2 linked regions of the Drosophila melanogaster genome follow. The protein of the gene in region 2 interacts with the protein of the main gene of each other region in a pairwise test. Each region holds a gene or a part of one and is shown on either strand. Other genes may lie near its edges.

Region 1 (3,755 bases), on a different chromosome or scaffold from region 2:
TGCTCTTCTTCGACTTCGCACCTCGCAAAGTGCCGTTATTCATTGACGAAGGGCAAAAGCAAACACACAAGCACACATTCAGAGGGGAGAAGAGAAGGAGAAAAAAACACAAACACTAAACATTTCAGCAATTCAATCATTCACATATGTATGTATTTATATTTCTTTTTTGTTGCTATTTAGCAATTATGCACGAGTTATCTCACGGTCAACTGGTTTTTTTCGAACGATTTTTTATTGTATTTTATACGAGTCGAATTTCGCATTGATGGAAATGCAAATAAACGCGCAGTGAGAAGAGAACATTTTCCGGGCCCCACAGCAAAAGGAAAAAGAAAATTCAAAACGGCACGCGACGCACGAACTTAATTATTTACTACGTGTGTGTGCGTGTTGTTGCACAACTACAATAAAAACTCAAAAAAAAAAAAATTAAATAAAAGCAAACAACAACGATCCAATGTCAGAGAACCACCCACACGAATTGAAAAGTCAAACGGACAAATTGAATTTCGGCCTGCAATTTACGCTTTTAATTAAATCATTAAAAGGGGGCACAAAGATTACGATTACGCCATTACAGAGCACACAGAAAATCAAGATCTGCGTATGATACCAAATTTCTGAGATTAAGTTGATATTTCATTTTTTTTTATTTTATTTTGATGGTTGAAAGATTGATATAGATAAAGACGTAAATTGAACTTTTGTTTCCTTAACATGACAAAGAAACTTGCAACCACTAAATATTTGTATATATTTTCAGTTAAATCGAATCACATGCTAAGTATATTAATAAAACGTTTGTCTTTGTAAAATCAACGAACTGTTGATCATCTATCCGTCCTGTTTTGCTCCCAGTGTAGCGGCAACAGTTGCACTGTTTGGTGTTTGGTGGCTCAAAAATGTAATTACGCACTCCAGTGCAAAAGCAATCGACAGCAAATTACATATTTGTAATGGTTTGCAATTGAACTGCTTTTAAAATTGAATAGCAATTAAATTGTTGCTTGGCAAACACGAACACACACAGCCCGAAAAAAAACCAGACAAACCACTACAGACAGACTCAGACACACACCGATAGAAACGCTGCTGCGCCGACGCAACTGCGCTGCAGAACTTCTCTTCCTCTTCTCCTTCTTCATCTTTTAATTTCTTTTACCTTTAACTATTATCTATTTTAGCATAATTTCATTCACACACCAGCTTTTGTTTGTATTGAAATTAGTCGCGGCGGCTGTAATTAAACAATGCGGTATTTCGAAACTCGCGCTGAGAACGACCGACAATAACACCAACACAGACAGGAGCGCGCCCTTCTCGCACGCACACAAATTTATTATAACACGTAAACAACAACGCCGCAACGCCGACGCAACTTATTTTTCCGGCAGCGACGCGTCCGCATACGTCCGCTCACGTTAAGTTCCGCAGAGAGAAGTTGTTGAAAACATAAACAGAATCACTTGTTGCACTCTTTGAGAAAAGTGGGGCTATTGCTGAAAAAACCAACTAAAAATATTGCAGGTTAGGGATACTCGCTCGATTGGCGTACGGCCACACTTTTGCGACTTCACTGTTAACCTCTACTTCATAGAGACTTTTACCCGATAAATGTTATGAGTTTGACTTTCTCTGTTAATCACAAGAAAAAATATTGTGGAAATTAAAATTATCTCAAATCAATAAAAAATAATAATATATACACCTATGTTTTATAGAAGTCAACAGTAAATAAGTTATTTGGAAAACCATTGTAGCCGTTTAAATAAATCTCCTTGAGTGTGTTTTAAATAACGGTCATTAAGTATATTACTTGGCCCTCTGAATTTCTTGAATTACACCATTTTTAGAAATAAATCAATCCAAAAGACTACTTTTTGGTGGCAAATGAACTGCATAAAAAGTAACAAAAGAAATATGTTTTTGAAATAACAGTATAGCTGAAGTGTATTAAAAAATACCGTCATATGAGCGACCCGCTGTTACCGCTTCGCTGCGAATGACAAAACGGGCTGAGCAAGAAAATGGCGTAGAAGGCGACGAAAATTCGTTTCACTCGTGAAGAAAACCTCGATAACTGAGGAATACAGCTGGGATTTAAAGAGCATATTCGAACTACAAGCAGAGATGTTTCCTGGTGGAAACGGAAACGCCGATTTGGGCTACAACAAGCATGCCCACGTCCATGGACTTGGACAACATGGCCATGGGCACAACCATAATCACAATCAGTTCCTGGCGCAGCCCCCACCACCCCCCACACATTTTTCACTGCCCTCCGGGGGCGGTCAGGGCATGGTGACGCCCATGGTAGCCGCCGGCCTGCCGCTCGCCATGCAGGGTGGCGTTGGCATCGATTGGGCGCAGCTCGCCCAGCAATGGATCCACATGCGGGACGCTACTCCGGTGCCCATGCCCCTGGCCCCTCCGCCGCCCATCATCAGCAATTTGCGAGAATACCACCAGCAGACGCTAGCAATGCCGGTGCCCAGTGTGGTCAGGGCGGGATTTCCGCAACTAGAGGAGCACGGCGAGGCGGATATGGACATGGACGATGAGAATGATCGGGGACATAGCACTGAGACACCCCCACCGCCAGCACCTTTGGTTACGCAATCCCAATGGCTGGCGGGCACCGAAGTGGCTGGTCAGATCCCAGACGCCTCCAACGGAGCGGGTTTGTAGAAGATCCAAGAAGATAGCACAATAAATCAGGTCAGCAACTAACCCTCCTCTCCGTTCCTTGCAGCTGTCACGCTGGGCAAGCAGCCATGGACCGGGTGGCAAATGCAGACCGACAAATCAGGCAATTCCACGGCGCATATACCATCTCTGCTGAAGCTGAACGTGAGCAATCCCAATGAGCCGCACCAACAGCTGCAGTTGCAGTTGCAAGCGCATCAGCAGCAGCAGCAGCAGCATGCTCCCCAACCAACGCATCCACACCATCCACCAGCACATCAGCCGCATGCACATCCACACCACCTAACACCACATACACACCTGCCGCCACAGCACACACAGCAGACGCATGCGGAAAGCGGAAGTAGCGGGGCTAGCAGTGAGATCGATGCAAACAAACGGAAAATGTTGCCAGCTTGGATAAGGTATGAGTGTGCAAAGAACCACAATAAGATGCACAAAAGATAGATACTTGTAATAATTTCCTTAATCTTTCAGAGAGGGCCTGGAGAAAATGGAGCGGGAAAAGCAGCGGCAACTAGAGCGCCAGCAATCCTCCATGACCACGCCAGATGTTGAGGTCAACCATGTTAAGCAAGTATCAAGCAAAACACTAACCACACCTGGTAATCTTTTGAACATCGCGAACGTGGTAAGTAAGGTCGATGGGCGGCAGGGTTAACTGACTCTCAATACGGACAGAAAAGTGCCGAAAGCGTAGCACACACCATCTCACACAAATTGGTTGCACAAAATTTAGACGGGACTGAACCAAACTGAAAACGATGTTTCGTCGTTGAAAGCACACAAAACTTAAAAACAATCCGGACAGTAGAGCAGACTGCAGGCTTGAGTGCAGGCTGTCGATTAAACATTCCCTTGAAATTCAGGCTAGCGACAGCGAAGATTCCATTGACGTGCCTGTGGAGGCGCGTGGAGAACTAAAGGTGCAGCAAATAGGTAATGAATTGATTAGTAAGGACGACGATCGAAGCAGCAGCAGCAGCGAAGAGCCAGAGTCGGAGCTGCATGGAGCCATCGAAACCGGCAATCGGACAGTGGCGGAG
Region 2 (3,755 bases):
TACTATCTAGATACTAGATACTCTAAAGTCTAGGATGCACTTACTGCTCAAGAGAGCCACAAATTGACCGTGTGAATAATCTGTTTTGGCCCGTTTCATAACCCATATCCGTACCGCTTCGTATCTGTTGCAGCACCTAACGGCTCTCTGCGTCCTCAGCATCGCACTCACCTGCGCAAACGCGGCATTGTGGCCAAGTTACAGCAGCGATGATGCGCCCCCCAGCCGCTGCAGCGGTGGGCGTGGCCTGAAGTACCTATCGGGCGATGCGCTGACGGACTCGCTGGACTGCCTGGGTCCCAATAATGCGCCATATCCGAGGTGAGTCAGTCATCTGGCATGGTAGTAACTTTCTTTTCTAACGCCCCTGTGACCATCCAATTGGGATCTCTGCAGCGCGGCCGTGGCGCGCACATTCTCCAACTGGAACGGAAACTCGCGACGTGGCCGCCAGAGCAAATTGCCCAGCACACTGGACCCAGCCATAACCACCAGTGCTCTGCTGAGGGCCTACGACGAGGTGAACAACGAGGCCGTCGGAAGCAGTCGCTATGGTAAGTCGGTCACCGCCACCTGATTGACCAAACCAATCGATCGAACCACCGCCTGATTGATTGATTGATTGATGGATTGATTGACTGACTACTTGATTGATTAATCAATCTCATCGCATCGCAACTCAACAGGTCGTTCGCTGAAGAACGCCACGCCGGCGCAGCAGTGCAAGAGCGAGACGCCGGCGCGCCTCTGCAAGACGCGCTACAATACCACGGCGCCCATGTACGGAGTGAGCCTCACCTCCGGCCAGCCGGTGACCATCGTCCAGAAGTTCCCCGATCTCCTGCAGCAGGTGGTCTTCGAAGTGTGCGAGTGAGTAATATTTTGGCACCCGATTAATATAAATCTTATTGGTATACCAAACAAATTGAATTCAAATAAGAAATTTACCCTTAACTTACATTACTCCACAATCTCCACTAGTTCTTCTTTTTAAAGCTCACTACTATGGTCAATTTCAGATCCTCTGAGTGCGATGTGGTCCGCGGCGAGTGTACGCAAACCTATGTGCCCTACCTGTTCCTGGTCATTCCGCTCGGCCCGGTGACGCTGACTGGCCAGGATTACGTGCTGGTGGAGAGCGGATGCGTGTGCAAGCCCAAGTACTCGACGGGCGCCGCCCAGGAGCCGAACATGATACCGTAGAAGGAGGAAACGAAGGAAGGCGAAGGCGGTAACCACCAGGAACACCAACAGCAACCAAAAGAACTGAGCGAGTTTTGGGTCGGAGCAGATCGGAGCCAAGCCGAGCTGGGCTGAACTGGCTGGCTGGCTGGCTGGCTTAATTAAAAGGAATTATTTTTTGTAGCGAAATCAATTTTGCAATGTTATTTAATGTTTTCCCCCCATCTCTCATTCTCCTTTAAATCCCACTCAGCTTTATAAAATTGAATTGAAATTTTGCTCGAAAAATAATCGAATCCTAATGTTAAGTCTAAATTTAAACAAAATTGATTAAATGCCTCTGTGCGTTTGTAGTGTGTATTTATTAGAACCCCTAATTACGGCATTCGAAAATGCTAAATAAAAACATTCGTTTCGAAATGTGACTGCAGTCGTTTAATTCCAAAGGGATGGAATATAAAATTGTTCAAAAGGATGGAAATATAATAATGAAACTATAAATAGAATGTAATTGCTATGGCTACGCACATACCGACATGTGCCTTAAATGATCTAGAAAATGTAGCTCTTTTATAGTAAAAATAGAAACCAATCTAAACAGATCATTTTAAAATTCGTTTTAAGTTTGAAAAGATTTAAAATGTAACGGTCGCATTTGAATTAAAAAAGACAGTTAACACCCTGTGCGCAGCGCTGCCAGATGCTCGCCGATAACATTTGCCGATAGTCCTGCGCTGGTCCGATTACTCGTGTTTTGGGCCGCTGCTGCCATCACTGGCGCAGACCGTTTTCACGAATATAATTTTTTATTTTGCGATAGTAAAGTGCTGAAAAATAGCCAGAAAACTGCCATTAAAGCTGTTCGCAACGACGACAGAACGCATTAGAGTGATAAACGCGCGAGCAGGGTGTTAAGATAGCGATTGTTTCGGGCCAAAGGCATCGCATCTCCCCGGCCATCACACATACGGCGAAAAGACGCTGCGCGAGTGTGTGTGTGCTCCTGTAGACGACAATCGACTTGCGTGGTGCCGGGTTACATATTTTTATTGGATTTTTGACTCGCCCTCGCTGCGCTAGAAAACAAATGTGCCTGGCCTAAAGTTGGGCCACAAATTGGCGGCAGTGCACCGAAATTCCCGCAGGACTCTAATCACAAATACGCAGCCAAGATGATGTTCACGGTAAGCCAAAAGCGTCGACACCCCCCCGCAAACTAATCGATAAATGGTTTTTCAATACATTGCCCATTCGTTTGTGATAATTTATTCCCCCTTTTTTTTAAATGGAATATCCTGCAAATATGTTTATTTTTCACCCCGCCCCCCCGCAAAATCAAATAGGGCACCAATCAGCAGCAGGACACGCGGTTCAGCGACAAGGAGAAGAAGCTGATGAAGCAAATGAAGTTCGGCGATTGCCTGAACAAGAGGGTGGATATGTCGAAAGTCAAGCTGGACGTACTGCGTCCGTGGATCAGCAAGAAGATCACCGACATCCTGCACATCGAGGACGACGTGGTCGTCGAGTTTGTCTACAATCAGCTGGAGGAGGAGAAGTATCCGTGCCCCAAGAAAATGCAGATCAATATGACGGGCTTCTTGAACGGCCGAAATGCCCGCCAGTTTATGGGTGAACTTTGGGCCCTGCTGCTTTCGGCACAGGAAAGCGATTCGGGTATACCAGCGGAGTTTATACAGCAGAAAAAGGACGAGATACTCAAACGGGAGGAGGAACAGCGGCAGCGGGATCGATCGAGATCCCGTTCGCGTTCCCGCTCCCAACGAGACAGTTCTAGGCGAGATCGGCAGCGTGACCGCTCCAAATCCAAGTCCCGCTCCAGATCCCGCTCAATGAAGCCGGCCAACAACAACGGTTCGGTGCCCAGTGCCGCACGAGAAGCGGCCGCCAATGCGGCTGCCAAAATCCGTAAACGCGGCTCCTCCTCCGCCGCGCGTCCCGGCTCCAGGGAGCGGAGATCCAGCCGACGACCACGTTCTCGTTCACGTTCACGCTCGCGAACCGCCGGCAAAAAGACAGGCTCGGTGGAGCCCGCACCCGCCAAGACTGTCAACGGCCGCCACTCGACGGACAAGTCCTCGCCGGTACCGCCGGCCTCCAAGAACAAGTCGCGCTCCCGTTCGCATTCCCGGTCGCGATCGCCGCGCAGTCGATCTCGATCGCCCAGCGCCAAGCGGTCACGTTCCCGCAGTTCCTCGCGACGCAGTCGCCGACGAGGACGCTCCAGCAGCATATCTTTGTCGCCGGAGCGCAACCAGGATCAGTTTGAGCACCGACGCAACAAGAACAGTGTGCAAAACAAGCGGCAATATCGCAACAATCGCGGGGACTCGGCTAGTTCAATGGAGCGCGGTAACGATCGAGGCAGGCAGTTTGGCGGTGGCGGAGGTGGTCGTCGAGGTGGCAGACGCTTCTCCCCGCGAGGACGCAGTCCGATGCGACAGGATAATGGCGGTGGCAACGGCGGCAATCGCTTTCAGCGATCCAATTCGCGTCGCAGGTCGAGATCCAGGCGGCTATCACGCTCGCCTATGCGTTATTCTCGCTCTCCA

What was found. The genes of interacting proteins can lie anywhere in the genome.
Region 1: the proteins of Srrm1 (region 2) and CG31211 interact in a two-hybrid assay, tested with the Drosophila melanogaster proteins (one large-scale study listed by BioGRID).

The regions. Positions count from the first base shown.
Region 1 is NT_033777.3:11,947,672-11,951,426, forward strand, and holds the start of CG31211 (uncharacterized protein), read left to right. Parts: upstream 1-2,008; 5' UTR 2,009-2,133; coding exon 2,134-2,683; intron 2,684-2,755; coding exon 2,756-3,113; intron 3,114-3,186; coding exon 3,187-3,340; intron 3,341-3,578; coding exon 3,579-3,755.
Region 2 is NT_037436.4:13,034,899-13,038,653, forward strand, and holds the start of Srrm1 (Serine-arginine repetitive matrix 1), read left to right. Parts: upstream 1-1,922; 5' UTR 1,923-2,354; coding exon 2,355-2,366; intron 2,367-2,525; coding exon 2,526-3,755. Other genes in the region: CG17672 (uncharacterized protein), read left to right, coding at 134-321, 397-554, 687-870, 1,020-1,203.